Linked DNA regions of Astyanax mexicanus. The protein of the gene in region 1 interacts with the protein of each later gene in a pairwise test. Links are inferred from orthologs where the notes say so. Each region holds a gene or a part of one and is shown on either strand. Other genes may lie near its edges. The genes, in order: cdc73, heat shock factor 2-binding protein, fibronectin type III and SPRY domain-containing protein 2 and tfcp2.

What was found.
Region 2: the proteins of cdc73 (region 1) and heat shock factor 2-binding protein interact in binary tests that used the Homo sapiens proteins (3 or more experiments, as listed by UniProt). The link is inferred for Astyanax mexicanus from reciprocal best matches to the Homo sapiens genes CDC73 and HSF2BP.
Region 3: the proteins of cdc73 (region 1) and fibronectin type III and SPRY domain-containing protein 2 interact in binary tests that used the Homo sapiens proteins (3 or more experiments, as listed by UniProt). The two-hybrid records come from large-scale screens. The link is inferred for Astyanax mexicanus from reciprocal best matches to the Homo sapiens genes CDC73 and FSD2.
Region 4: the proteins of cdc73 (region 1) and tfcp2 interact in binary tests that used the Homo sapiens proteins (3 or more experiments, as listed by UniProt). The two-hybrid records come from large-scale screens. The link is inferred for Astyanax mexicanus from reciprocal best matches to the Homo sapiens genes CDC73 and TFCP2.

The regions. Positions count from the first base shown.
Region 1 is NC_064415.1:57,793,317-57,801,640, forward strand, and holds the start of cdc73 (parafibromin), read right to left. Parts: upstream 3,358-8,324; 5' UTR 3,125-3,357; coding exon 2,994-3,124; intron 1,163-2,993; coding exon 1,057-1,162; intron 808-1,056; coding exon 738-807; intron 611-737; coding exon 548-610; intron 408-547; coding exon 355-407; intron 7-354; coding exon 1-6.
Region 2 is NC_064428.1:21,664,855-21,672,682, forward strand, and holds the start of heat shock factor 2-binding protein, read right to left. Parts: upstream 3,130-7,828; 5' UTR 2,804-3,129; coding exon 2,753-2,803; intron 561-2,752; coding exon 410-560; intron 1-409. Other genes in the region: ankrd10a (ankyrin repeat domain-containing protein 10a), read left to right, coding at 6,384-6,584. UniProt on the Homo sapiens protein: Meiotic recombination factor component of recombination bridges involved in meiotic double-strand break repair.
Region 3 is NC_064416.1:45,102,803-45,110,492, reverse strand, and holds the start of fibronectin type III and SPRY domain-containing protein 2, read left to right. Parts: upstream 1-4,411; 5' UTR 4,412-4,514; intron 4,515-5,967; 5' UTR 5,968-5,968; coding exon 5,969-6,208; intron 6,209-7,690. Other genes in the region: WASP homolog-associated protein with actin, membranes and microtubules, read right to left, coding at 981-1,328.
Region 4 is NC_064420.1:6,043,973-6,051,492, forward strand, and holds the start of tfcp2 (transcription factor CP2), read right to left. Parts: upstream 3,060-7,520; 5' UTR 2,726-3,059; intron 764-2,725; 5' UTR 671-763; coding exon 549-670; intron 1-548. Other genes in the region: pou6f1 (POU domain, class 6, transcription factor 1), read right to left, coding at 7,010-7,355.

The DNA.
Region 1 (8,324 bases):
TTCATCCTTTTAATGAAGAAGCACAATTTCAGTTCTTTTTTCAGGTCCACATTAAGGATATTATGGATTTCACAATTATCAAGGTATTTAATTTCGGGCTACACTGCAAAAAAATAATAAAAAAATATATTATATAGATGTCAAGAATTTCCTATTTTGAATACAGTGTTTTTTGAAGTGAGGCAGTCAAGCCAATACAGACCACATTTTACAATTCAGAACAATAAATTTGGACTCAAAATTAGAAGATTTCCTATTATAAAAACAAGGAACAATAATTGAACAACTTCACCTAAAGAGGGAAAAAAATGTAGAAAACAAAGCTACAAGTTTCTATATATTTTTTAAGTTTACCTCAAATCGTGGCTTTTTTGCTTCTGAAGAAACTTCATCTGCAGCTCGTTTGACTGTTCAGAAACACAAAGATAAAGAAAATCACAGTTAAACTCAAAGCCACATGTTCATATTCACACCAAAACCGAAATTATCTGTTATATATGCTTCCAAAGCAGATTAATATAATATACTGTATGCAGTCGTGACGTACCTTGTGTCGGCCTCTGTAGACCAATCTCAATGGGTGCACTTCTGTCGATACTCGTTGATGATGCTGTAAAACAAAAGAACAACAATTTAACATGTTTATTTCATTCACAGAGACCCTTCTTTACAGATTACCATAATATTAGCTGATTAAGAGTTTAATGTAGTAGTTGTTGATGGTGTATCACACTTACAGCTTTCTCCATTGAGATATGACAGCAGGTCTTTTCTGTCCGGTCTTCTGACCACAGGTATGTTCTCTGTCTGAATGTTAAAAAAAACAAACAATTCAAGAAATATTTATATAAAAAACTAAATTCTTATGATCTATACATAATGAAATTCTGATGCAATATAAAAGAACACTTGCCACATTCACATTATGTCAAAAATAGCAAAAAATAGTACATGTAGTGAATATTTTTGTTAAAAAGCTGATCTCGTTTCATTCAAGATTTATCCAGGCAACCTGTTTACCACCTAAACTTAAAGTCTGTAGACTCAGTCACTTACCGCAGCTCTGCGCACATAGGACGGGTGAGGAAGATGCACATTGTTGAGAAGGAAAAGAATGGAGTCCAAAGTGTAGTACTCCTTAGGCTGGCCTTCCTTTCCTGTTCTGTAAGAGAGATTTAAATACAAATAAAAAACACGTTGTTCAACTATCGCATAATACATAGTTAAGAGATTTTGTTTAAAACATGCAACTCATATTATACAGATGTATTACACACAGAGTGATCTATCTAAGCACTGATCTAAGCATTTATTTCCTTTATTGTTAAGAATTATGGTTGACAGCCAATGAAGAGCCAAAAATCAGTGTCTCATAAAATTATAGTATAATATAAGACCAATTGGTACGTTTGGCAGTGTGGGCAGTGTGCCTATTCCTGCTGGAAAATAAAATCCACATAAAAGTTGTTAGCACCATGAAGTGCGGAAAAACAAAACTGCACTGACTTTAGACTTGATAATAAAACACAGTGGATCAACACCAGCAGATGACATGTCTCTCCATCAAACCATCACTGATCATCAGTAAATTTTACAATTTTTTAAAAGAAATCAAGGGAGCAGAGTCTGGAGGAAGAGTGGAGAGACACACAGTCCAAACTGCTAGAGGTCTAGTGTGAAGTTTCCACCAATCAGTGATGGTTTGGAGAGACATGTCATCTGCTGGTGTTGATCCACTGGGTTCTATTAAAAGGAAGTTTCAAAATGCATAATTGTTGTAGTTAAGTTAAATAATCCTCCAGATTTTATTCGTTTGGTTGGCTAGCTAAACAGTATTTTAAAGTACACAGCTAGCTTTGTATGTCCTGGACACAACTCAAAACAAACAGCAAATAAACCAAATTAAGCAACCTAGCTTGTTAGCATGCTAGCTTACTAACTAGTGAACTCAAAGCAAGTTGGCTTTACTTGATACAGAACTCAGTAAAATTATTATAATTATACCTCAACGTGCAATACATAAATGTGTAATAGAGTTTTTCCATAATGTGAAACTGATGCAAATTAAATACTCTTCCAGATTTTCTCTCACATTTACTTTTCTCTTTTTCCGCGTGCTTTGATATCACTTTATTACTTAATTTTAACGCTACTTGCTAAACGTTGACGTTACACTCCACTATAACACACAACTCATGTAACGTTAGCCAGCTAATGGTTATTTTAAAGCTAGTTAGCGTTTTAAGTTCCGTATTCTGTGTGCTTTAGTATTTCTTTGCTGCTGTAACAGTGCAAATTCCCCCACTTTGGGACTAATAGAGGATTATTAAACATAACCAACTAACTTAACATAGCTAACAAATCTAACGTTGCTTGCTCAACGTTAAGTTACACTTCAGCATAACACACACACACACACAAAGACACACACACACACACACACACACACACACAACATATCTAGCGTTAGTTAATTAACGTTAGGTAACCTGGGTTAGCTAACAGTTAGCTAAGGAGTATTTTAAAGTACAAAGATAGCTTTTTATATCGTGGACACAACCCCAAACAAACAGCAAATAAAACACATTTACGTTAACTAGCTACCTTGTTAGCTAGCTTGCTAATTTGCTAGCTAAACAACTGGTTAACTCAAAGCTAGCTAGTTAACGTTAGCTGGCTGTCTTGAGAGTTAAGTGTTGCTATCGTTAGCTAGCTAAGGTAAGCTAAGCTAACTAGCCACCAGTCCAAAACATTCGCCTTAACCCTAAATTTAAGTCTCTCAAATCCGCAGGTAATCCTTAGACACACCTGAAGCTCGTAAACTTTAAACTCTCACACAGTTACCGAGCTCAATGCGCGGGCTGTGTATGTGTGTGTTTTTTAATCTGGTTAGCTGCAGGTGTCTAAACTAAGCTAAGCTAAGCTAACGTACACAACACAGCTGTGAGTTTGGTCAGTAAAGCCAGATACAGGCTCAGTCGAGCTCTTCTTACCCCCAGATCACATAGTTGGTTTTGACGTTTTTGGGCCATGAAAACTCTCCAAATATCACTTCCTCTCCTTTAGCGATGATCTCTTTCTTCTGGATGTTGTACTGCCGCAGCACGCTCAGCACGTCCGCCATCTTCACCCTCCGAACACACGGGCTTTTACTGGGAAGACCTGAACCGGAGGCGGGGGGCTATACGGAGCCCTGCTGCCCTCCCTGTCCGCGCTTAAACCCGCGCTCTCACCACATAAACTCCTCTGTTTTACACCTTATCAACACCTCAACTCTTTAAATCGTCCTTTTCTTATCTCCTCTGTGTGCGCTGTATTTTGTGTTTAAGCCCCAAAGTTACTAAACACACAGTGTGACTCGGGTAAGTGCCTGCGTGAGAAATAACCAGCTATAAAAAAGATATATAAATAAATATATAAATGCATATTTCAATGTAATTAGCTACAGTACTTCTGAATTAATACAACATAACAATAATACTAATAAAAATGATAATAATAATAATTATAATACTTTCCCTACACACACAATTGTATGCACAATTGCTCTAACGTTACTTATCGTGTGTGATGCAAATAAACATCTTCTAGAAGTTCCAATAATTACATAATTATTTATATCATAAAATTATATCAGAATTTAGTTATATCATATTTAATATGATATTTAAACTGTTGCTCTACAAATAATAATGCATTTCTGGACTTGTGGTGTGAACTTTTATTTTGACTTTTCACAACTTAACACAGGGTGTCTTTCGCAAGTGCCTGCTTGTAATAGTTTCCCCACAAAACTTTAGATATATAGTTTTGATGCATATTACTAATATATTATAACAACATAATAATAAAAACAATAATAATACATTCCCTACACTATGTATTTAGTAAATAGACTAAATTAAAACTACAGAACAGTTCTTCTGATGTAACTGAACATTGTCTAGAAGTTGCAATAATTATATAATATTTAATATGATTTTTAAACTTTTGTTGCTCTATATTTAATTCTACAATAATACATTTCTGAATTTGTGGTGTGAACTTTTATTTTGACTTTTCACAACTGAACACAGGGTGACTCCCGTAAATGCCTGCTTGTAATAGTTTCCCCACAAAACTTTAGATATACATCTTTAATGCATATTATTTATATATTATAACATACTTTTATTATTATTATTATTATTATTATTATTATTATTATTATTATTATTATTATTATTATTATTATTAATAATAATAATAATAATAATAATAATAATAATAATAATAATATCTACTCTGTATTAACACTTTTACAACTTTCATAATTTAAAACACTTAACTGAACATGATACTACTTTACTATATGAACCAAATAAACAAAAGCAAACGGCTCCAATAATCTGGGTTGTAATTTCTGAATTTTCAATTATTGATAAGCATTATCAGTTCATTTTATATTACGTTTATTGCACGCAATACATTGCATATGTTGTTTTTATCATACGTATTTTAAATCATATGCCATCTGCTAATGTTTACTGGAGGTGTCAGGGACTTTTATTTTAGAAATAAAGTTACTACACACAGTGCGACCTCAGTAAATGCCTGTTGGAAATCACTACAACCAGAGACTCTCTACAGAGGAGAGAATGCCCACCAGAGGGCGCTCTCAAGTGAGTTAAAAATGAATCTGTTAATATGGAGCAATTAAGCAATTAATGTACAGCTCTGTAAAAAAAATAAGAAATCACTTAAAAATTATGAGTATTTTTGATTTTACCAAATTGAAAACCTCTGGAATATAAATGAAGAGTTAGATGGATGATCACAAGCCAGCAAACCACCAAACTGACCTGCTTGAATTTTTGCACCAGGAGTAAAGCAGCATAAAGTTATCCAAAAGCAGTGTGTAAGACTGGTGGAGGAGAACATGCCTTTTTTATTATTTTAGTCATTACTCATTTCATGCAGATTAACGCTCTTAATGACAAAATTTTTATTTGGAATTTGGGATATTTTTTGTCTGTGTTTTTTTTTTAGCAAAATGTCCTAGAAAAAATATTTATTCGTTATTATTTTTAATTAAAGTTTTAAGCTGTTTACCCTATTTACCCCAATCATTGAGGACTTGACTTTATGTTTATTTGGGTTTAGTATTCTAATGTTATATAGAGTTAGTTACCGGTAGACACTCTCACTGACCACTGACTTTGGATAGGGATTTGTTTGGATTTATTCTATATTTCTCTTTATTCTACATTAAGCCTCTCTGCCTCCCTTTAAGATATGATAATGAAATATGTTCTGATTGGCTGTAATGTATTTTATTCAGAAAGCAATCTGAATGATTTGTTAATTTGTAATCTGATATTTTTTTGTGACATTGCGTAGTGGGTGAATTCCAAAAAACTGTATTTCCTTCCTTGTGAAATGTATTTTTAAATGAAAATGTAAATGTGTTTCAGGATACGGGCCCTTTAATAAATACAGATGACCCTCAGGATCTCGTGAATGCGTGTGATTCCAGACACGCACTGTGCTATGACTGGAAATTCTCTCCAGTTCTTCCTTCCAGAACTCTTCATTGTTTGTTTTTACAAAGAGTTTCCGAAACAGCGAAAAGAGGAATCTCGTCTGTCCAGCTATTGAAACAAGGCCACGGGTATTTAGTGATGGAACTTCCTTTCATTTTACCTCATGACTTTTTATACAGGATAACAAACTGTTAGCATTTTACAGTTACAAAAGCACTGTTTGCAGTTACTGTATTTACTGTATATGGTCTACAGGTTTACCTAAAGTAACCTGGGGGAATGACTACACACTGACAGTGAGGGGCAGAAACTAGGGGACACAATCAATCTGAAAATAGTTGGTGTCAGAAGTTGCCAATAGCAAAAGACTAAACTAAACTCTAAAATTAAAGTTATTATAAGTTGATTTAAGCCTCTATGGCATGAAATATATTTTTGATAATATTTTATGAGAAAGAAATGCTGATATGTTTGAGATCATGAGCAGATCCTTTTTTTCTCCAAACTTTAGTCTTTCCATCACACTGGTAAATGTTAATATTTGTTAATATCATAGTCTATAATCGGTCCACAGGCTTTAATACTAAATTTGTCTTTGTATTCACCTCATTAATACGACTTTTGTTCTTCTCTCTTCTGTGAGCAGTAGATTGTGATATCTTCACTTCTGCCCTCTGGATGTTGTTGCTGATGTCACTAAAAGTAGTTTTAGGGTTTTTCTTCACTTTACAGCTCTCACAACATTTCAGTTATCAGTTGCTGTGGTTTTCCTTGGTCTACCTGTTCGACATCTGTTACTCAGTAGACCAGTGACGACTTTCTTCTTCAGTACATTCTAAACTGTTGCACTGGTTATGAACAATATTTGTGCTTTAATGGCTCTGATTGATTTCCTATCTTCCTATCTTCTTATTGTTTGAATAATTAATTTATCATCAAAACACACCTGTGCAACAAAACACACCTATCAGTCACATGATCCATGATCCAATACTTTTGATCATAAGAAAAGTGGGTGGGTTCAGACAGAATTTGCTATAGTATCTTTTAAACTGTGTATCAGATCCAGACGTAAATCTCAGATGGAAATAAAAGCTGAAATGTGGGTCTTCTGTCTAATATTCATCTTTTAATGTCAAATTAAATTTTTTGTTTCCTTCTACAGCAGAAATAATAGAATTGACTGCAGGTATTTAGGGCAATATGTCTTCTATTTCTTGGTATAAAAGATGAATAGATATAAGTGTGTGGATATGGAGCGTAACTAAGAGAGATCTCAGAGACATGAATGAGTTTTTGAGCTTTCTCTAGGTGGCAGCAACCCACCATGGACAGATTCCTCAACTCTTTTCTCTCCTCAACTCTTTTACTTTTCTGTTCAATTTTTACGCAAAATGATCATAAAAGCTTTAAATTATAGTAAAATTCATTTTCATTCATTCTTACTGTTTTATTTCTTTCATTTCTTTTACAAACTCCGTTCCTAAAGCTCTGTAAGAGAATCAGCTTCTATTTAATTACCATCCACCCCAATCAAACTCAGACTTGTTTACAGTGATGGTAAACAGAACCAGACGTCTGAACTTCTAAAAGGTTCCTCACAGAAAGGGGTTTTAAATGGGTTTAAACTGTATAAAGTTTTGAGAACATTTTGGGTTTTAAAAACTGGAGTAAAACTTAAGTTTAAATGCATCTCTATAAAAAACGTGTGTGTGTTTTACAGAAATTAGTGTAAAAATTCGTTAAATTTATTTATACTGAATATCATTGCTGTCCAATAAAAAAAGTATCTCTATTTTTGTTGATTTTTAGTTTACTTCATAATTTGAACAAACGAACTGTCCCTTACGTTGTGCCAAAATTTCTTGATGAACAAATGAATAGAAATGCTTCCAAATTACATTTTTACATTGATTTACAATGTTTTTTTCTCTCTCTTATAAAGTTGCTGTTTTGGAGATACTTGTTTTTAATTGGATAGTGACAAAGATATGTGTCAAGAACTTCAAAATCCAAAATTGTCTGGCTTTCAAAAGAAAATTTATAATTAAAATATATATACAGTTTTTTAGTACAGTGATACAGAATACCGAATTTACCTTTAGTTGCTGGTTTAATAGTATAAATCTGTACTTCTTACTGTTAGGAAAGACTTTGTACTGCAGAGGAAGCAAAATTAACCCTTTAAAAAACAATATTATGCCTTTGAGGTAATGAAACAATTATGAAATCTCATAATGTTTCTGTCATCAATTGCTGTGGTTTTCCTTGACATCTGTTACTTAGTACACCAGTGACGACTTTCTTCTTCAGTAAAGTGAGTACAAGAACACTTTGAGTACAAGAAAGTACTTATATCATACCTTTTTAGTTTTTTAGTGTGTTCTGCTGACTATCCTTCATACCAAGTGAAGATTATTTGGACTAAAAAGTTCTATACACCTATCTCTAATGCAATTATCACTTAAATAAGCATTAATTAAAGTAGAGTCATACTAGAGATACATAACAAAGAGTGGTGTCAATATTAACATGTATGTGATTAATCTGAAAACGTTATTGCTATAAATACTTACTGTGTATTACAATGTGTGTGACAAAATAAAAAAATTGCAGATAAAAAAATATATAATTGCAGATTAAGAGTTCAGACATGTAGCACTAATTTGTTTCATTTCAGGCTCACATCTAGATGTAAATTGACACCATTTATGAAAATGATTTTTTTTGGCCATTCTAAAAACTGGAATGTTTGTGTGAAGGTTTTTTTTGTAGGTTTTCTGTAATTTCTCCACTTTTTAT
Region 2 (7,828 bases), on another chromosome or scaffold:
AGTTGGTTGGCTTACTTTACCTGTCTCAGAGAGAGCATGTGCTAGCATATTCCCATCCCAGCAATGATAACATCAATACTAAGGCTGCCTATGATTAGTTATTGCCTACACAGACAGCTCATTTGATTACTGCAGAATTTAATACATAATCTCCTTTGGTGTTGTGTTAAAGCTGCAGTCATTTTCCTTTTAATTTGATAGTACTAATGTTTCAGAGTGCGTAGAGGGAAAATATTATAACAAAGGGTATCAACGTGCTTCTGCTACCTTTTTCTGCAAAGGAACATATTAATTAAAAACATATTCATTTTAAAAATAGGGTGTCTGGTAGGTCCCATGACCTTATTTTGGTTAAAACAGCTTTTGTTGCTGGTGTGGTGGAGTGTAAGGGGATGTTTTCTGGGCTCACGTTTTTTGTCTAGGATCTGGGCTTTATGCAGGGCGACCATGATTTCACTGTTAATAACTTTGGGCAGGAACTCTCTGAGTTGCATGACCTCTGTGGACAGTCTTTCCAAGTCCCGTTTTCTCACGCTGACAAAACAGTCGCCTCCTGCATCCTACAAAAAGAGAATTTTTCTTGACGGTTCAGGTTCCACAATACAATTTTTCAAGTCTCAAGCAAGTGTGTTAAGTCTTAATATTAAACAAGGCTGACCTCTAGTGACAACGTTTACACTAACTGCAACAAATACAACATTTATCAGTTAATAATTACAGTTTGGACACATATGTTAACATAAAATTCTATAATTACAATTATAGGGATTTCAAATAAACGTAATTTTTATTACATGTTGTCGTCATCTATCGAATGAAATGTATAAATATTTGAATATAATGATGATTGAGCACAGGCAATTACACTATTTAACACCATACCATTAGGGATGCACAATGATTTTAGGATTATATCGATATAAGCTGATCACCTTTTTTTACGATCATTGCCATTGACTGATTGGGAAATATTTCAAACCGATAATGAAACCAACTCATTTATTGTATGCCGAAACAAGCATCACTGTCCACACTACTTTAATTGAGCAACAATGGCTGTGCTACTTAAAAAATAATTGATTTAAGCTTTTTGTTATTTTTAGTAGTTTTAAATTTATGAAGTTATATCACTGTCTCCCATACCATACAACACCATACCATACCATATTTTTGTTGTTGTTTTTTTATGTAACATTAAAAAGGAATATCTACGCCAACATAATGAGGCGTTCAATTGGGTCATTAATAAAAATATACAAAAATATGTGCAAGAATAAGTATTTTGATAGTAAACAAGCTTTTTATTTGGATCGCCGGTGCTTCATCATGATGTCCCTAACAAAAGCGATTTACATGATGTTGCCCTAAAAAACTCATTTAAAAAACTTGTTTCAGTGAGTTTACAACAATAATCTAAGACAATTTATACAGAACAGGCCGAAAGTTTGGACACACCTTCTCACTCAATGCGTTTTCTTTATTTTCATGACTATTTACATTGTAGATTCTCACTGAAGTCATCAAAACTATCAAGGAACACATGTGGAGTTTTATGTACTTAACAAAAAATGAACCGGCCTCCTCAGTTACTGGACCTCAACCCAATCAAGATGGACCACAGAGTGAAGGCAAAGGGGCCAACAAGTGCTAAACACCTCTGGGAACTCCTTCAAGATTGTTGAAAATCCATTTCAGGTGACCACCTCTCGAAGCTCATTGAGAGAATGATGCCAAGAGTGTGCAAAGCAGTAATCAGAGCAGAGGGTGGGCACCACTCTGGATCTGCCATCTGGGAGACACACAGCTGGGTTGGTGGCCTTTGGGCTATTTTAGCTCTGTGGGTGGATGGTTTTAGCTCTCCTAGTCTTGTTGAAGACTGTAAGTGAGTGGCAAGCCTGTTAAATAAAAGAGCTTATGAGCGTTCATCATGAGTCTCACGGGTCTTCCTTCCTCTTCCACGCCACAATATATATTAAGTTATTTCACCTTTTTTGTTAGGTACATAACTCCACATGTGTTCATTCATAGTTTTGATGCCTTCAGTGAGAATCTACAACGTAAATAGTCATGAAAATAAAGAAAACGCATTGAAAAAGAGGTGTGTCCAAACTTTTGGCCTGTATTGTACTTTATATTTATTTTATATTTTTACTATATTCTTAAATTATTACATATTAAATGTACTAAAACAAGTCTTTTTTATTTGTTGAACTAGGGCAACATTATGTAGATTGCTTTTGTTAGGAGAATAATGATAAATCAGTTTTGATTCAAACAATCAGCTTGTTAACAAAATAAAACAAATGTCAAAGAAAAAAATATTTTTATAATTCATGCCATAGAGGGTCAATAATATTGTTTTGTATTTTCATTATTTGCCTTTACTGTGATAGCTAGTTAACCTAACTTAGCTATCTTAGCTAACTAGCTATGCTGACTTCATCAGCTGTCAAGATAGCCTAAGTGATATAAAAGTTAGCTATCTAGCAAGTAAATTTACATAACACCTTCAATTTTATCTGTTTCTTTACATTTAAATATTCTGTTTGTATATACTTGTTTAGCTTTATTGAAGACTGAAGTGTGCAGTATTTAACACTCGTTAATCTCAGTATAAAATCACTTAATCTCATTATAAAGTCGCTAGCTAACCTAGCTAACTAACTTATCTGCAAACATTATCATTAGCTTATATTTTCTCAAATTAGCTTTAAAAAGAACCAATAGAAATATGTGTTGTTAACTAGGTTACCTCTCTTGTGGAGCTCAAAGGCGAAGATTTAATCGACTCTACTGCGTTCATATTCAGCTACAAATATAACGTTATTTAACCATACAACTCAACTAGCAAGATAAGCAAACTAGCCTAGCATAGGAAAGCTAACGCTAGCTAGAGGAGTTATAGAGCTAGCAGTGGGCAAGCGACACACATAACCTGAAGAGAAAAACTGTTAAATTTATAAACTGAGCGCCTCTGAGAGACTGAAGCTGAGGAGGAAGACTATAGAGGTCTGTGGCTCCCTCTGCTGGAACTTTTCCTTAGCTTTCTGCTGGTTTTATAAAGAGCTGAACAACTTTATAATTAAATACAGAGAAAATATAAAGCTTATCTGTAGACTTGTGGTTAATGGTGGCTTATACACTCTGTACATACCGATAAACATCAATATTAATCGATATGTTGCTCACACAGCAGTTTTTAGGGTATACATCACAACAAGGACACTGATAGCATGAATATGTTTGCTATGAAAAGTCCCTAGCTTTTAAAATACAACTGCAATATGTTAATATATATATATATATATATATATATATATATATATATATATATATATATATATATATATATATATATATATATGAAAAGTGGCTAATATTCATATGATAGAAAATAAAGACTTAAAATATACATGGACATGGCATTGTCATGGTACACTCATGGCAAAGTTATGTGAATAACTGTAGATGGAGCAAGGTCTGATAGTGGGTGCCAGATGGATGACGGAACATTACATTTCCAAAGTTGTCCAGACATTTAACATTCCTTGATCCACAGTAGTAATTCCTGCCCATTTAATGTCCATGTCATGTTGGTGTATTAAGGCCAAAAAAAATGTATTTAGTTCACAAGAATATATATATTATGGCCTTGGGACAATATTTTTACACCACAAAACCATGAATTCTTAGTAGTGAGAAGTAAAATCTTACTTAAATTACAAAGAAAATAACTGACATTACAGAGCATTCTATTCTCAATTTCTCCATTTTACAATGCTTCTGCTCACATTGTAAAATCTCACTCAGACAGAAGGACTGCCATCCTGAGATTAAATGGTGATTAAATGGCGTGGGGTGTAATCAGGTTACAGACACAGGTTAAAACAAAGCTTAAAACGTCACATTTCAAGGAAACCTAATCACTTGGAATTAATTGTTTCGTGATGTCATTAGAAAAGGTTATACATACCACTCCTAAAGGCACCATTTGTATCTTATACCTTTTTGTGTACTTCTAGTTGGATTATCTAATTCTGGTGGTAGACATGTGTAGTAGGTATCAATGCTGCCTTGACTGTGGCAAATGTAAAAATCACAATGTTCTCATTTCAATGCTATAGAAAAAGTTATGACTAGCTAATTCTGTGATTAGACAAGTCAGTCTTGTAAATGGGTGTGTAATGCCACATCTGAGCATTTTGTGGCTTTAAAAAAAATCACATAACCTCTATATGTACATCAGAGAACAATTTAAAATACAGATTAAATCATTGTATTGCATTTGCTGGCGAGTGAAATAAATATCTTATTGTTTTTAGGGCAATACTGATTATGGAGGCATAAATAGCTGCGTTTTAATGCCAAGGCGGTATTACTCAGCCAGCAACATAGAAGGTTGTTCCAAAGTGAAAGACCCTCCTTGTACTGCCGTGAAATGCAACCAATGTTCAGAGGTCCAATCTGGGGTAAAAACAAAAAACAAAACAGCTTTTGTAACATTTCTCTGTAATTTTTCTTTTCTATCAAGCACCACTTTTTTTAAACAGAAACTTTTATAAAAAAGAGATACTTTTCTGTGGGCCCTATAACACCCAAATGACACACACTGATAGCAAGGGACATTAAATAAACATTCATTTCTTGGTTACATTATATCCTTTAAGACTGATTATGGAAAAATTGTCTTATGGGAATTATTTAGTGTTGAAATTCTGATATTGAATTTATATTTATTTAAAGGTTAAGAAAGGTTTGATCTCTAAATCTACAGTGTTGTTAGGTGAAAATGGCTTCCCACAAATAATAACAGTGATATTAATAGTTATAATTTGAATGACCCACACTGCAATACCATAGTACAGATTATAAGAATTAAAATATACACACTGGCGGTTCTAGAGGCGGGACCACAGGGGCACTGGCCCCAACTGAAATCTGATTGGCCCCTTGAAGTACCCTTGTCCCGTCACTCACGATTTGCCCTTTGCCCGAAAGCAATGATCAGAAAATAGGCGGATGCAATTCCATGTCCAAACACTAGAGGCGCTAATGTCCCCAATGAATGAATGGGAATGTCTACTGTGTTAAATCTTATGTATGAGAGATGTTTTGAAACGGCTGTATTTGTGAAAAAGTAAAAAGGTTTTTAAAAATGTAAAGTGAAAATGCATGTAAATGTGTGAAAGAGGTTTTAATGTAGTTAATTTTGTGCCAAAAGTTTAAAACACAAAAAAATCTGCCATCAAAATTACAGATTAAATACATATAAAATCCACAAAATCACAAACATGAAAGCAAAGACTGGTAAAATCCAAACGAAAATATTTTTTAAACAACTGCAAAGAATAATAAAGTTACCAACTATCTTTAAGTATATATTTTTTTCTTCTTTGAATTTGCAGCATGCACTTTTTCCTTGTTAATAAATCAAAATTGCTTGATTGATTGATTGCAGAGTTTAGTTTTTGTGTAAAACTTTTGGCACAAATTAACTTTTACTGTTTTTTTTATTTATTTCTAATTTATTCCCATTTTCTCCAAATTTACACAGCCAATTATGCAACCCACTAAGTAGGACTCCACCTATCACTAGTTTTTCCCACCACCAGGAGAGTGAAGACTAGTACATGCCTCCTTCAACACATGTGAAGTCAGCCACCGCATCTTTTTGAACTACTGTTGATGCAGCATTTCCGAGTAGCATCACAGCGTGCTTGGAAGAAAAGCACAGTGACATGGTTCTGATACATCAGCTCACAGACTCCTTGTACTGCAGCCATCACCCTTTGGAGTGATGTGGGGAAAGAGCACCATCTACCCACCAGGAGAGAGCAAGACCAATTGTGCTCTCTCTTCGAATTGGTGATCTCCTGATCATATAGATTTTACTGTGTAAACATTTTTGAATAACATTCAAGTGTTTGAACATGGTGTGACTGGTGAAATAATACTTGCCCTTTTTTAGACAAATTCTAGATCCAACACTGGATATACATATTTAATGTGAATATTTTTTTGCTATCTCAGCTATTTCATACCCTACTAGAGTGTAGTGCACTACCAAATCCGTATCCATACTTTACTCCATGTCTGCTTTTAGGACCAGCTGATACAGAATCCGTTAAGCGAACTTAAAACTCCGGTCCGGGTTTTGTCTTCCGCCACTCAAGTTATACTTTCAAGGCGTGTGGATGTCTGTGTGTGAGTCTCCTTGTGTGTTTGGGTTGATGCGCGTGTATTTAAGTAGGTAGCTATGTTGTATTAGTCTTTTGTGTGTTAGCCAGGTGTCCTCTGAGTCCACGCCTCGCCGCGGCGTGCTCAGCAAGGCTCCGTTTCTCTGTTTAAATTCAACGGCGCACAGTTTAGCCCCTCAGCCGGCCATGTCTGTGGGCGTCGAGTCCGGATTCTCCAACGACGAGCTGCTCCACATTCGCTTCCCGCTGCACCGCGCCTGTAGGGACGGTGATGTGGGCGCGCTGTGCTCGCTGCTCCAGCAGTGCTCGGCCAGCAGAGCGGACCTAGCCGCCGAGGACTCTTTCTACGGCTGGACGCCCATTCACTGGGCGGCTCACTTCGGAAAGGTAGGTTAACGCTAACGTGAATAATATATATTCTAGCTAATGTTGAACTACAACAAATAACGGTATTATTTTAACTATTTTTTTTAATGTGGCTGAATTTAAACTTGGCGAATTATTTTTTCCCTCCACGGTCATTTTTTGACGAGGCCCCTGCGCGTAAAGAGAGCTCAGATAATCTGAGCTACGTGCGGGTTTACATGCTAACCTAACCTAGCCTAGCTAACCTAGGATAGGTTAGTGCTCGAGCATCAGTTACTAGAAAAAACCCAGAATTTTAAAATGAGCTAGCTAAAAGTTAGCTATAATTGTTTGCAAACACTAAACCATCATAGCTGGTTAATTAGCTAGGTTAAGTATAATGTTTTTGTGCTGGGGTGCAAAAATAAACCTGATAAATCTGTTGAAGTGTTTGTAGATAAGTTAGTGTATCGTTATTTTCAAGTTCACCTCGAAAACTCAAGTTAACTTACTTTGCGACTTTTAAGCTTGTAAAATAAGTAAATAAGCAAGTAAATAAGCATTTCTTATCGGAAACAAAATAACAGCTACCTGAACACCTTTTGTATTTTTTTCTTTTTTGTTTTGTTTTCTGTTGCCAACATTTCTAGCTAGGTAACGTAAGATAACAAAGAGCAACGTTTAAGCAATAGGTAAAAGGAATGTTTTTTTTTCATATATGGATTGTGATTAACCATTTATTTTGACACGCCCCCCAACTCGTAGCCCCTCGTAGTAAATACACAGTTTGTCTTGCCGTTCACGTACACGATATTTCCTAATATTTTTTTAAAGCGGCATAACACACATTACAGTTTGCACTGAGGATTCAGATCAGCAAATCAACTGAAAAAGACCGGACAGCACAGCCGCGCGCTCAGTCTCCAGGTACGAGCGCGCAAAACCAAAGCCAGCCGTTCATTGGCTGAGCCGCGACCAATAGAAGTCGAGGCGCCAAAACTGTGGTTTAAAAATAGATCTTTGACCCCGGAGTGGGAACTGCTCACGGCTGCAGTGTTGTGAAGTGTGGAGATACTGTTTTCACAGGATCCAAGCTGTACAAAACTATTTTAGGGGTGTAAGAAAATATCAGTATTAAATAGCATCACAATATATGTTTTACAAACAGCCAGTCTTGGACTTATGATCAGACTGCAGATTTCCAGACTCTCATTATAATTTGACGGCCCAGCAGTATGGATTTTTTTTCTCCAATTTTAGCTTTACATGTAAAGATTGGTGTTAGA
Region 3 (7,690 bases), on another chromosome or scaffold:
TGGCTAGAGAAATGATCACACCTGGGTTCAATTTCTCAAGCCACATCCAGATCTAATTCTGGCCACACCGGTTCTCAATCAAGAAAACATTAAATAGAACCTGCCTGACAAAGCTAATATCCAAAGAAATCCATGAACAAATCAGAAATCAGTCTGGAAAAGGTTATAAAGCCATTTCTAAAGTTTTGGGACTGCAGTGAACCACAGTGAGAGCCATTATCCAAAAATGAAAAAAAGGTGGAACCTTCCCAGGAGTGACCGGCCGACCAAAATGACCCCAAAAGCACAGTGACAACTCATCCAAGAGGTCACAAATGACAACATCCAATGAACTGCATGGTCTAGGCTGTTTTGCTGCTTCAGGACCTGGAAGACATGCTGTAATAAATGAAACCATGAATTATCCTGTCTACCAAAAAGTCCGGAAGTAGAATGTGCAACCATCTGTTCGTGACCTCAAGCTGAAAGGAACTTGGGTTCTGCAGCAGGACAATGATCCAAAACACACCAGCAAGTGCACCTCTGAATGGCTGAAGAAAAACAAAATGAAGACTTTGAAGAGGTCTAGTGACCTTAAAAAGGCTGTTCATACTTGAAAAGCCTCCAATGGCGAAATTATTTTAAGTTTTTGCAAACACTTAATTGATTAATTAATTAACTGATTGATTGATTGAGTTGTTGCTGCTAAGCTTGGCACAACCAGTTATTGGGTTTAGGTAGCAAACACTTTTTCACACAGGGCCATGTAGGTTTGAAATTTTTCTTCCTTAGTATTAAAAACCTTTATTAATAAAAACTTCATTTTATGTTTACATGCATTGTCTTTGAATAATATTTAAATTAGTTTGACGATCTAAAACATTTAAGAGAGACAAACATGCAGAAAATAATAAATCACAAAGGGGCAAACACGTTTTCACACCACTTTACACTATGGTAATCTGTAATCTTGGCAGTGTACTGTAGAGGTCCTGCTGTACCTCCTGCAGCTGCAGGGCGTCCGGCCGGGTGAACAGCATGTCCCACAGGTTCCTGACCGTGTTGAACGTGCTGATGTCAGGTAGGCAGTGTTGGAGCTCCTGGGCGGTGCTGGTCAGGGTTTGGTGGGTCAGTATAATGTCATTAGCGGACAAGAGGGTGGCCCAACCCTGCTGACCGGCTCTGGACTTTGTCCCACGGCTCCTACAGGTCACCGCAAACTGACCCTCCACATCACTCCACTGCACCAAAAACTCCAGCCTCACAAACTCCCTGCTGGAGAAAATATCACTCCTCACCGCCACCCAGCCGTCCAGACTGTCCTGCCGCTCAGCCTCCACACTGCTCATCCTAAGAGACAGAGAGAGAGAGAGAGAGAGAGAGAGAAAGAGAGAGAGAGAGAGACAGACAGAGAGAGAGAGAGAGCGAGAGAGGGGGGGGGGGTAAACGTGTGAGACTTTTTTACTTTTAAAACACTTAGAGGGAGAGAAACAGAGACAGAGAGACAGACAGAGAAAAAGAGATAGGCAGAGAGAAACAGAAAGAAAGAGATGCATACAGACAGACAGAAGCAGAGAGAGAGACAGACATAGAAAGAGAGAAGCAGAGAGAGAGAGAGAGAGAGAGACAGACAGACAAAGACAGACAGAGACAGACAGAAAGTCAACAGTAGACAGTCAGAGAAAGAGAGACAGGCAGAGAGAAACAGAAAGAAAGAGATGCATACAGACAGACAGACAGAAGCAGAGAGAGAGAGACAGAGAGAGAGAGAGGCAGACAAGCAGAGACAGACAGAAAGTCAAAGAGAGACAGTTTGGCAGAGAGACAGACAGACACACATAGGGACAGACAGACATAGAGAGAAGCAGAACAACACAAACATAGAGAGAGAGAGAGAGAGAGAGAGAGAGAGAGACAGACAGACAGAAAGCGTCACAGACAGAAAGAGAAATGATGACAGATTAATAAAAGAGAGACAGACAGAAAGTGAAATTATGATAGATGAAAGAGACAGAGAGAGAGAGACTCACAGACAGACAGCGAGAGACAGACAGAAAGAGTCAGACAACAGCGAGAAAGAGAATTTATGACAGATAAGAGACAGAAACAGAGAGAGACAGATACTGACAGAGAAAAACCGACAGACAGACAGAAAAAGTCACACAGCAGTAAGAAAGAGAGATGAAAGATAGAGAGGGAGAGGGAAAGGGGGAGGGAAAGAGGGAGAGAAAGAGAAAAAGAGAGAGAGAGAGGCAGACAGACAGCTAGAGACAGAGGGTTAATGAAAGATGAAAGAAACAGAGACAGAGACACAGGCAGACAGACAGATAGACGGAGAAAGCTGACAGATGAAAACACGCTCAGAAACAGCTCTCTCTCTCTCTCTCTCTGTCTCTCTCTGTCTCTCCCTCTCTCTCTCCCTCTCTCTCTCTCTCTCTCTCTCTCTCGGACACGCTGGCGCGGGGTATGAACTCACCTGGGGGAGAGTGAGGAGCAGGTAGAGCCGGGGTTTACAGGGTTTACAGGGTTATAGGAGGGTTATGATCGGTATAAAGCGGATGTAGCGCTCGCGCTGCTATCTGTTGTTGTCACTTTGCACTCCGCACGCGGCCATGTTGAAGAAGAGTGACGTCACGGTGTCGAAATCGAAGGAAATGTGAGACTTAAAGAAAAAGTACTTTTTATTAACAACTAAAGCATTAATAATAATAATAATAATAATAATAATAATAATAATAATAAATGAATAATGATTCATAATAATTATGATAACAACGAGAGTTTTAAAAGTTTACGTCACAGTCAGCTGCCTCCTCTCTTGTTTATGGAGCCCTTCCACTCCCTTCCTCTCTCTCCCCCCTGCTATATCAGATATATCAGACAACCGCTAGAGGGAGCCCGCTAGAGAGCCCTCAATAAATGGGGGTGAATGGAGCTAAACAGCTAAAAACTCAAAGTAAAAATAGAAAATATAATGTAACCAGGATATTCCTGTAATAATGGAAAGTAGAATTAAGTATTTTCCTAATAAAACAAATAAAACCCATCTGTATATTTCCATTTTTCTACAGCAAATGAATTTCAGAGAGTAGTTATGCTAGCATTACTGCTACTAAGGGGCTGCATGTACCTGTCTGACAACATAAAGCAGCTAAAAGATCTCAAAAAAGAGGAACATTATTATACCCCGATATGAAGAAATTCAAAAACAGATGAGAAAACAGAGTCATTAACATCTGTCAGTTTTGAAAAGGTTTCAAAATCACTTGGGTACTTTGGGATTCCAACGAACCACAGTGATTCACTATTATTCACTAATGGAGAAAACATGGAACACTGGTGAACCTTCCCAAGAGTGGCCGGCCGACCGAAATTACTCCAAAAGGGCATGAAGAACTCATCCAGGAGATCCCAAAAGAACCCAGAACAACATTTAAAGAACTGCAGACCTCACTCACCTCAGTTAAGGTCAGTTAATGATTCAATAAAAAGAAAGAGACTGGACAAAAATTATCTCCATTGGAGAGTTCCAAGACAGAAAACACTGCTGACCAAATATAACACAACGGCTCATCTCACATTTACCAACAACATCTTAATGATCCCCAGAAAATAAATATTTGGTGGCCAGGGTATGAGCAACTCTGAAAATTGGACTCATCAGAGAAGATGACCTTGCACCAGTCCTCATCTTTTGCAAATGTCAGCCTGACTCTTCTTTGCTTATGATTGAAGAGTTCTGCCTCTAAGAGATTTCCATGCACTTCACCCCAACTGCCATTTGCCATTCTTTTTATAGGTCAATCTTCACACCTGAAACCCATTGAAAAACCTCTGAATGTTATCATGCAAGATGTAAGTTGGTCACGAGCCATCAAACAAAGCTGAACTACTCGATTTTGTACCAGGAGTGCAATACGGTCACCCAAAAGCAGTGTGAAAGACTTGTGGAGAGCATGCCAAGATGCATGAAAGTTGTGATTAAAAACATTAAGGGTAATTCCACCAAACATTAAATTCTGAACTCTTAAAACATTAACATTGTTGTTTATAAATTAACTTGTCCATGGTTCATCTTCATTTTACTCAAATATATACCTATAAATAGTACAGTCAGAGAAACTAACTGTGTGTGTATAAGTTAATTTAAAGTAATTTTTTTATTAAAGAAAAAAACTATCCAAACCAATCTAGAAAAACAATGTTCATTAATTAATATACTATATTTTTAGGTGTTTGTGGTTTAAGCCAGGCAGCTGTTTTAATTTTTGTTGTAATCATGTTTCAAGTGCGTATGTGTCAATGTGTGTTTAAGTATGTGTGTGTCAGTGTGTGTGTGTGAGTAAACAGGATGGGTGAGGAGGGGGTGATATCTGAGAGAGCTGCATGCCTTCACGCTCTATATTTGGTAAGAGCTGCTGTCAGGGTGTGTTGGTCTGCAGGAACACTGTAGAGAGAGAGAGAGAGAGAGAGAGAGAGAGACACGGATCTGCAGAAGCTCTGAAGGAAACAGAAGCCTCTGATAATCAGAGCAGGTGAGGAGAAGTTTATGTACATTAGCCTTTATTAATCTATTTATGTAGGTTAGTTTAAAGTTAATCAGAACTGTACTAAATTAAATATGTAATTGAATATAACCAAATAGATTATAACAGGGCTTAAAAGGGAATACATTTAAAATAAACTGCATTGAATATATGACACAACGACTTGTTTTGAATTAAACTTTGTTAAGTTTGAGGCATTTAACTAAATACTGAATATTAAAATATGTTTAAAGGTAAAAGGACATGGTGTCAAATCTTATTGCAGGAGGCTGCCTTGTGTCCACATGTACTGTTTTGTGAAATGCATGAGTTATTGTTATTATGGCTACTTCAAACTAGATTTTTCTTTTGTATTAGTTATTGCCCTTTTCTTTGCTTTGTTTGTTTTTTACTAATTTGTAGCATTCATACAAATGTCAGTTGATCTTTGTGATCTTGCATGTATATATTAGTATTTCACAACACCATTCAGTCCAAATAATATTGTTTTTAACGCCTTTAACTGTTTTTTATGTCTTACATTAAACATACTATTTAATAGGGGATGGTCAACAACAACAGCCTTTGAGCTCATTCATTATTTACTTTGGATTAAGGAGACAAACTTTTTCTTTTCTTATGTCCTTCATTGATTTCTTCATTATAAGCTACACAAATGATTATTATTTTATTACAGATACTCATTTTATCTGATCTGAGGTGAACTGGTCTGATCTGAGATTATCTAATCTCATCTGAACTGAGCTGACCCTATTTGATCGGGTTTAGAATGAGCAGAACTGAGCTAATCTGAGATGAATTGATCTTATTTGAGATGAACTAATTAAATCACATCTGATCGGAGACGATCTAATCTCATCTGAACTGAGCTGACAATATTTGATCTGAATTTATCTGCGCAGAACTGAGGTAATCTGAGATGAATTGAGCTAATCTGTGATTAATTGATTTTATCTGAGAATAACTGATTCGAACACATCTGATCTGAGATTATCTAATCTCATCTAATCTGAGCTGACCGTATTTGATTTAAATTTATCTGAGCAGAATTGAGATAATCTGTGATGAACTGATTTTATCTGAGATTAACCGATTTGAAAACACATCTGATCTGAGATTATCTAATCTCATCTGAACTGAGCTGACCGTATTTCATTTGAATTGATCTGAGCAGAACTGAGCTAATCTGAGATTAACTGAGCTAATCTGTGATGAATTTATTTTATCTGAAATTAAACAATGTGAAAACACATCTGATCTGAGATTATCTAATCTCATCGGAACTGAGTTGACTCTATTTAATTTGAATTTATCTGAGCAGAACTGAGATTAATCTGAGATTAATTGAGCTAATCGGTGATTAACTGATCCGAACACATCTGATCTGCAGTGACAGAGAGTGACAGTGTGTGTCTGTGTGTGTGTGTGTGTGCGCGCGCAGTATGGATGTGTATGGGCTGAGGGGTCCCCTGCAGGCGATCGCGGAGGAGATGGCGGTCAGTGAGGAAGAAGAGGCTGAGGGTGATGAAGAAGCGTTTGTGGTGGTCAGGAAGCGCCCTGTGACCTCTGACCCTGCTGCTTCCTCGGACATGTACTGCAGTGACTGTGGGACCCCGGCACACTCCGGACAGCACACACACCACAGGGTAGTCCCTCTGCCGGACGCTGTGCAGGACATGAAGGTCAGAGTGACGGGTACAACAATAGAGACAGAAAAACACAAAACATCATTCAGTTTATTTATGTTTAAGTTTTGGCATCCTCAATTACTTATATTCTTATTACACTGCCTGGCCAAAAAAAGTTTTCACCTTGATTTAAAGGTCATCTTAAAATGTCTAGTTGTGGTCTCTAGTTTGAATAAATGCCACGTGAGCCATTTTTTGTGAAAAATAGTGCTCAGGTGTTTCTATTTAGCCTGCTTTAGATCACTGAATTATAGGTCTTTGAAGAAAGACCAGATTTGGCTCTTGCTCATGAATATTCATACATGCAAATATATTGCCTCTAATTTGCTTACCCCCCCCCCCCCCCCCAGTCTATTTTACAGCTCTAAAACTCAAAGGACTAAATATTTTCAGTGATACATCCTTAGTTATAAAGATGTAGCACTGAGTGCTAATTAAAGTTAACGCTTAATCTTCGCTTAACGTCCGACTCGAGCGGCCCCATGGCTGATAAATGTTATCTATGCCACCGCGCGAGTACAAGTAGAGGCTGCCCTCCATGATTCCAGTCTCTTCATGGCAGCGCGAATAAGCCTCACGGCCGCGACGCTACTATGCCTGCGATTGCGTGAATAAACCCCCTACCTGCGGCCCTGTAAACAGAGCTGTTCACTCCACCTTAGCTATAGCTCCTAATGCTGTAGCCCTGTCAGAGCTAGCTGGGCAAACAGCGTGTTGTTTGGATGTTAGCATAGCTAGCTCTATCTCTCCTGCTGTCCATCTTTCTCCGCCCTCCTCCGGCTCTTGGAGGTAGGCGGTCCGTCATAAACCCTGGAGATATCAGCCAATAGCATTCTCCTGACCCTGCCCCCAAACTATCAAAACCACCCCTTTCAATATGTGCGCGAATAGTTCACTCGAGCATAAACAGCAGCCGCAGGTAATTCGCATGGTGCACGAGGACAACTGAATTTAAGAGGAAAAAACACGCAACTGGAGAAAAATGAAGCTTAAGATTTCCTTTTTTTTGCGTTTTACATTTGTGCTTGTGAGAAGTAAATTTACACACACAAAATGTTAAAACACGCAGGGTAACTTTTTTTTACCTGGCAACTTTTGACATTGATGTGAGGCCTAAATTGTACATGGTATTAACCACAGAACTGTGTGTGTTTTTGTGGGACTGTGTTGTGGCATGTGATACATCATTATTATACATCTGGTTTATTGGATTTATCATTTACGTATTCCAGACTTTACAGTAAAGAAGCACTGGATTGGTTTCCCCTCACAACCTGAAAAACAACTTATCCTCCCCCGTTATCACTGTATAATTTGCATCCTGGTTACTCCTATATATGTTTTTCATTTAATTTTCGCAAACTCCCAAACCGAAGCATCAAACTAATTCAGGACAGGTAGCTGAGCTCTGATCCACAGCCATACTGACCGCACTCATCTATTCGTTGTTTTTACATCCCTCATTCCTCTCCTGCA
Region 4 (7,520 bases), on another chromosome or scaffold:
AGTTTATGTAAAATGTTTCTAATCTTAAAATAAATAAATAGAAATTTCAACAGGAAGTAAAGCTCTTTTTTTACTACTTTATTTCAAGCTAATTGTTATTTTTTAATTATGGATAACAGATTGATTGTCTGGTTTTTAAATTCTTTGTAAAATATGGTTGCATTTAAATATCAGTATTTAGTAAAGGTACATCATATTAGTGAATATGATAACCATCTATTTTCATACTACATACTGCAGCATACCCAACAATGAAACACCACAGATACTGTATGACTATCTGCATTTACTGATGTGTAAACACAACAAGAAAGATTTTTTTTTATTATTTAAACTTGTCAATCCATTTGTTACCAAACTACAGGTAATTAATTATACACAAAATTTTGAACTCTTATCCAGCACTCACTAAAATAACTGTTATAACTTGTCTCTGATTACTATGTAATTAAAATAAAATCAAAAGAGCTAAATAGCCACTCACACAGCTTTAAAATCAGTTGTATATATAAATAACCCCTCATATATAATCAGCACTAATGCAGTACCTCATACTGTAGGCTCCAGCTCCCAGCTCCTGCCCAATACCGGACAGACTGGCGTCGAAGTCCTGCACCAGCCCGGACTCGATCACCTCGTCAGCGAGGGGTAACTTCAAAGCCCACGCCATCGTCAAGCTTTCAGCTCTACCTCACGTCCGACTGACCACAGCCAACCGCACTGACCTCGATTACCTGCGACTGATTGGGCAGCTCACACACACCTGCGCGGGAGGAGGAGTTACAACAGGTTAAATACTACTGTCAGTCTCTAAACTAACTTTTTTTTTACAACCATCCCAAAGCTTTCTGTTAGTCGTCCCTAAACTGGAAAAAAAAATTGCCATTACTGTTGTATTTATTTATTTATGTGTTTTTCTACTAGCAATATATTTCTTAAAATATTTAACAATATTTTTTTTTTTTTTATATTGCCAGGCCCTAGTAAATAAATAGTTCATTTTTTATGTGAGCCATTTCAGCCTAAAATGACACCAAATGACACTAACTCACTGACGTTTTACTTGTAAAAACAAAAATAATCTAACTACAGACCTCTGTACTGCAGTTTTACATGTAAAAAACTCTTTTCAGATATCAATCATGAAATATTTACCAATTCTATATCAATTCTGAATAGTCCTATGTTAATATTGATTTACATCATTGCATTACTCTCTCTAATCTAGAATTACATTTAACTAGTTAAAACTTACTCTCCAGATTCCAGATTATTTAGTACTAATATAAACAGTGAATCCAGATATTTACACTACAATTTAACAAGATACAATATTTATCATATTTTTACACACAGAGAAAATGCATTAGTAGCGTCAGATAAAAAAAAAGCGAATTAAATAGTGTGATTTTATTCTAAATGTGCTAAACTTTATCCAAATAAACAGTGTGTGCGTTTGTTTGTCTACCCTGATAAAAAAAAAATAAAGTAGTACTACAAGTACTACAATGCTGTATCTGTACTCCACTAAAGTATTAACCTATGTAACACAGTGGTGTACTTTTACTTTCAGTGCTTGAATTGTACATTTCAGTATAAACTACCTGCACTAATTAAGTACAAAAATCTTGAGTACTTTAGTATGTCTACTTAAGTGCTGTACTTAAGGAACACTTCAACTTCTACTTTGTTTTGCATGTTACGTTGTATTTTAATCATCTGTTGTTGCATTTTGATTACTTTTTTATTTTATTACCTTCGTTGTTGTTTTTTTTACCTATGATTTATGATCCCTTTTTTACAAATTTATTTGATCTTCTGTGTTTTCTATCTTAATATATATATATTAATATATATATATATATATATATATATATATATATATATATATATATATAATATCTTGTTAAAATGCTGGGTCTTTTGTTCTCTTTGACAATCCCTACATACTATGTACTTCATTATACATGAGGGCAATACTATGGGTATGAGTATAAATGAGTTTAAATAAAGGTTGATTAGTTGATTGATCAGTCTTATTTAGGTTACAATTTTCACCTTATTTTAAATCATTTAAACTCATAATTAGCACAAAAGTTACTGGACAAGTAATTGTTATTAGTGTGTTCACTTGTACATATAATTGAGGCCTTATGTTTGGTTAAAGACAAAATAACCTACAAAAAAAACTAATGTTTTTGCTATACTCTTAAATATTCTGGTTTTAAACCAAAAAACAGTGATTTAATGTTTTGTTCACTTATTTTAAAATCTTACTAAGAAAAAGTTGCTTAAAATAAGCATATATGTTTTAATTTAAATAACAGCTAAGTTATATTTTCCCTATTTTTTCCAGTGTAGTGTTAACCTAACCTAGTTAGATAACTGCTGCTGTTATTTCCGTGGTGTTAAGACTCGCTGTAAAGTTAGTTAAACCCGAGTTTATGATCATTACACCGGTAACAGCAGCTACACAGAGCTGAGGACCTGGAGGATACAGAATATATGAATATAAAAAATCACATTAAATTAAATCCTTTAATTTAAACTCAAACTCAAACCAGCCAGCCTGCTCCTCTTAAACTTCAGCTCCTGCTCTAACATGGTCTCTGTGCTGCAGCTGAAGGAGTGATGGTGTTTATTTCTGTATATTAATGATAATAAACCCCTGTATTCTCCTGTACTCAGCCCGCTGTAAACCCCCGGCTCTGTGTCAGTCACTCACCCCGGGTTAGGAGCGGGTGTCGGGGCTGGAGCGGCGGCTGTTTCTCTCCATGGTTTTAATCCGTTTTTCGGCGGACTCTCTCTCTCTCAGCTCGTCTCTCTCCGGACAACACTCACCAAACTGTCAGATCGAGCTTTTAATACCGAAATAAGCCTCTAAACTCCCCCAATACCCGCGGAATAATATCTACTCCTCATAAATCACCCGAAACAGAGGGAAATAAGAGCGCAGCAGACCTTTAAGACAGAAAACTCCTGTTTGTTTATTTGCTCGATTCTCTAGATTTTAGGTATTGCTGTAATATCCGCAGCTCTCTTCCTCAGCGCGGGAGAGCAGCGCTGCAGCACTGCCCCCTGCAGCCCCGGAGCTTAAAGCAGCGCAGCGATAACAGGAGAAATTCTAAATTACAAGCACTGAGTACTGTGTATTATTTATAAGGGAGGAAACGTTATTTCCTCTCATATAATATAAGATATTATATCAAAATAACTCTCTATTTTTTCAACCTAACTGGCCTATTTAATATTTTAATTGTAGTATTTATTAATACTGTCTACATCTGAGCCAATCAGCTTTTAGTATAAGAATTATTCTATATCTCTCTGCAAGACACTCCAAAATATTACCATAATTAATTTAGAGATTAAAATAAAAAGAAATCAATTCATTCTCCATTTTATTTTTATAAAATATTATCTCTGGATTAAAAGAGCTATGATCTAATATTCAGTTTCTTCATGAGCATTAAGTTACAGAAAAGCAAGCCTTATTATTCTCCGGCCTGATTTAATTAACTCGTTCCTACGCATTAGTATCTCATTCCCATGCCTTAATTATCTAATTCCCAAGCATTTGTATCTCGTTCCCACACCTTACACATTTTTTTTTACATGATGTCACCTGAAAAAAATAAGAGATCACTTAATGATGATGTTTTTTCCTCGATTTCACCAAATTTAAAACCTCTTGAATATAATCAAGAGGAAGATGGATGATCACAAGCCATCAAACCACCAAACTGAACTGCTTGATTTTTTTGCACCAGGAGTGAGTAGCATAAAGTTATCCAAAAGCAGTGTATAAGACTGGTGGAGGAGAACATGCCAAGATACATGAAAACTATGATTAAAAACCAGGGTTATTCAACCAAATATTGATTTCTGAACTCTTAAATTCTTATGAATATGAACTTGTTTTCTATAATGCACATTTGAGGTCTAAAAGCTCTGCATCTTTTTTGTTATTTCAGCCATTTCTCATTTTCTGCAAATACATGTATAGATATAATATAATATATATATATATATATATATATATATATATATATATATATATATATATATATATATATAAAACCTTTTAGTAATCCTGATTTAAAACCATTTGGTCTGATTTAAGATCAGACAGTGAGAAAAAACTATATATCTATTTTTATATAGTGTATGTAAACTTCTGATTTCAAATGTATTTACATTTTGACATCACTGTCCCCTTACAGATAGATATATTTTTGAATGTATGATGTTTTTGAATGAAATGCACAGTATTTGTGACATTACAGAACAAGAACTATTGCAACTGTGTCTGATTTAAATGAGTTTATTGAGAGAAGTATTAAAAGTTACACAAAAGATGTATCCACTATGTCCATATAATTTACTTGGATTTCTCAGGTATGTCAGGCTTGTTATTCAAAAGACACTAAACAAATATTAATAATAATATTATTAAAAATTAGAATAATAATATACGTTTCTAAAACATAGCGTAAATGAAATATAATTAAATTGGACTGTAGTTATGTACAATGCAATGAAGCTGAAATCTTGATCAGTTCAACTTCAAATGGAGAAGCTTCTTCCAAAGAGTAAAAAAGACACAGAAATGAGCCCATTATGAATATCAGAAATTCATAACGGCATAGTTTTAAGACGAAACACAAACAAAACAAGAACACGCAACTTTACAAACTCCAAGCAGTTGCTTTTTGTCCTATGACCTTTACACCTTGTCGTGTCACCACACACAGGACTCTGTGGATATTTGTGGATAGTTAAATACATGCTGAATATTTACTGCACACACAAACATGTTAAGGCTTTGAGAAATAAACAGAAAAAAAATCAATGTTCTGAATCCCTTACGAAACGATTACACCTTTTATTAACAGTAACATAATAAAGTGTTGGTTTAAAGCCTCTGGGAAGCTATATGTGAGATTTGTTCAGGGTCCCAAGTGTAAATATACAAAGTATTTCTTATTAATATCTCATATTAAAAATGTTATGTATTTCACCACTATCACTCTCCTCTGGGTGTGATATGGGCGGGGCTAAAAGTGGGTCCATGGGAACCATGACCAATTCTAACCAAAGTTAACATAGCTCCGCCCTCTCTCTTCGAGTCTGAGCAACCAGAACTGGCAAGTTGGTGAGCTGTCGCTTACCAACCATCTTAGTGCATTGTGTGCATTGAGAGCTTAAATTGAACTTAAATAAACCTTCGTTCGCCAGTGATAGACAGCTGTCAGTCACGCACACTCATTAGAAAATTATGACTACGCCCACCCAGTTCTCAGAGAGGTGTAAAAAGTGCATTTTGATGATATATGAGGAGTGTTTTATCATATTCCTGCTTTGCATTTTCTATTTAAAATTTGCTAAATGTTTCACATAACCCCCAAGTTGAGGGTTACACAAAAAGTTAAATATATACACCTTATATATATATTACATAAAGTCTTCCCAGAGGCTTTTTTAACCCAGAAACAACATTAATCAAACTGTTCTTCAGCTAGCAACTTCACTTAAAGAAAGTTTATCCATATTCCCATTTTACATTACAGTATGTATGTCTTTATATGAGGCTGACTTTCACATTATAAAGATCATTTATGTAACGCAGACCTACCTAAGCTATTATTTTGGCAAGATTGTAGTTATAAAGTAACAGTAATCCATAGAAATTTAACTTCACATTTATCTCACTGCAGTTTTAACGATTTGTAAGATTTAGTAAATTCTCTATTTAAAACAATAGACCTATAGTGTGCACTGCCATATTAACCATATACATCTATCCAGCCCAATCAGAATACAGTGGATTCTGCCACTTCAGTAAAGGGCATACTCTGATAATCTGATCCACACAATACCATGATTGTCCAATATCACACACTGCTCACACACACCGCAGAAAGACAGACAGACGGACAATGACCATACAGGAGGATTGCAGGAGCTACCATAGAGCTGGAAAACAAAAATGTACAAAATACACTCATATGTTACATCACCAACAGTCTTTAACATCTGGAAGTGTAGACCTGATGTCAATCTCAGTCCTCGGCTGTAAATGATATTGCACAAGCAGATTATGATTATGAATAGTAGAAAACTGTAAATTTATATCAGAGATTGTGCTGTACTACTACTGATGTTGGTTAAATTTTTAATAGAACCATAACTAGGGGGCTTGTATATGGTGATGATTTATAAAAGTATTATTTACAGTATTATTGTAATGTTAAGGTATTTAAAAAGATGACCACAGTAACATAAATTTACAATTTACAGTTTACAGGCCTGTCACAATAATTACATACATTATAGACTTATTGTACAAATCATTTTTGCTGCCCTCAGTATTACTCAATGTGTTTACTTTATTGTGTCGTTTTATTCAGTCAAAAATGTTTATTAAGTAAATCAGCTCAGCTGCTACACTGACTTTGTTTTTTTATATTTATTTCATTTTTTTTTATTTATATTATATATTTCAATTCCAATGAATATTCCTAGTAATTAAAAGTCCATTGCTCCTAAAAAGCAAATGCAGTGTAAATGCATGAATTATTATGCTACAGCACTGCCAATATATTAGTGGCATAAAATGTCTTAAATCATTTCTACAACAATATATCTTCCAAAAACAACTTATCATGACAGGCCTATTTACATATTGAATTAAATCAAATTGCTCAATTTCTCACTGAAGCTTCATCAGTGGTCAATGTTTTAAATGAGAGTACCTCATGCAGAGTAATAAAAAAAAAAAATACAGAAAATTAGAGGAGCATATTTTGTACTACTCCGTCCATAGATCGACCATTCATGCATTTAAATCCATCATCAAGTCCATCAAACAGGAGCACTACCTTAGACACTCAAAACACACACACAAAAAGCACCATCTTTTTAAAGTTACAGTACAAAAGAACAGTTTAGGTCCGTTATTCCGTATTTTCAGTCTCGTATTGCACGCTAAACAGTTCAGAGTCTTCCCTTACTGCACCTGAAACACGTTGATCTTACTGGTGTTCTTCAGAGTCTGTCTGCGGTTACAGAACCACACTCTCACCACCTCCCGGTCGTAATTAAGCTCCTTGGCGATTTCGGTGATCTCCTGGCCGGTAGGAAGGGCGTTTTTCTCAAAGTAGGTGTTCAGAACCTCGATGGCCTGCGGGGTGAAGCTGGTGCGGCGCTTGCGTTTCTTGGATGGCTCCCCGCCGACAAACTCCATCAGGTTCTGCTGCCCCTTCTGATTCCAGAGCTCGGCCTCGGCCAGCCAACGCTCCAAAACAGGCTTCAGCTTCTGAGCACTCTTCGGCGTGATGTCAAGCTTTTCAAACCTGAGGGGTAAAAGAGGATTAAAAAACAACACCTGAGAAAAAGCAAAGTCTTTATAGGCAATTCAGTTCACTCTGCAGCCACTGGGCAGTTATACACAGTTTCACACAGCCGGTTTACTCACTTCTTAGCAATTGACTGCTGAACCCTAAAGGGGTCTGTGAATG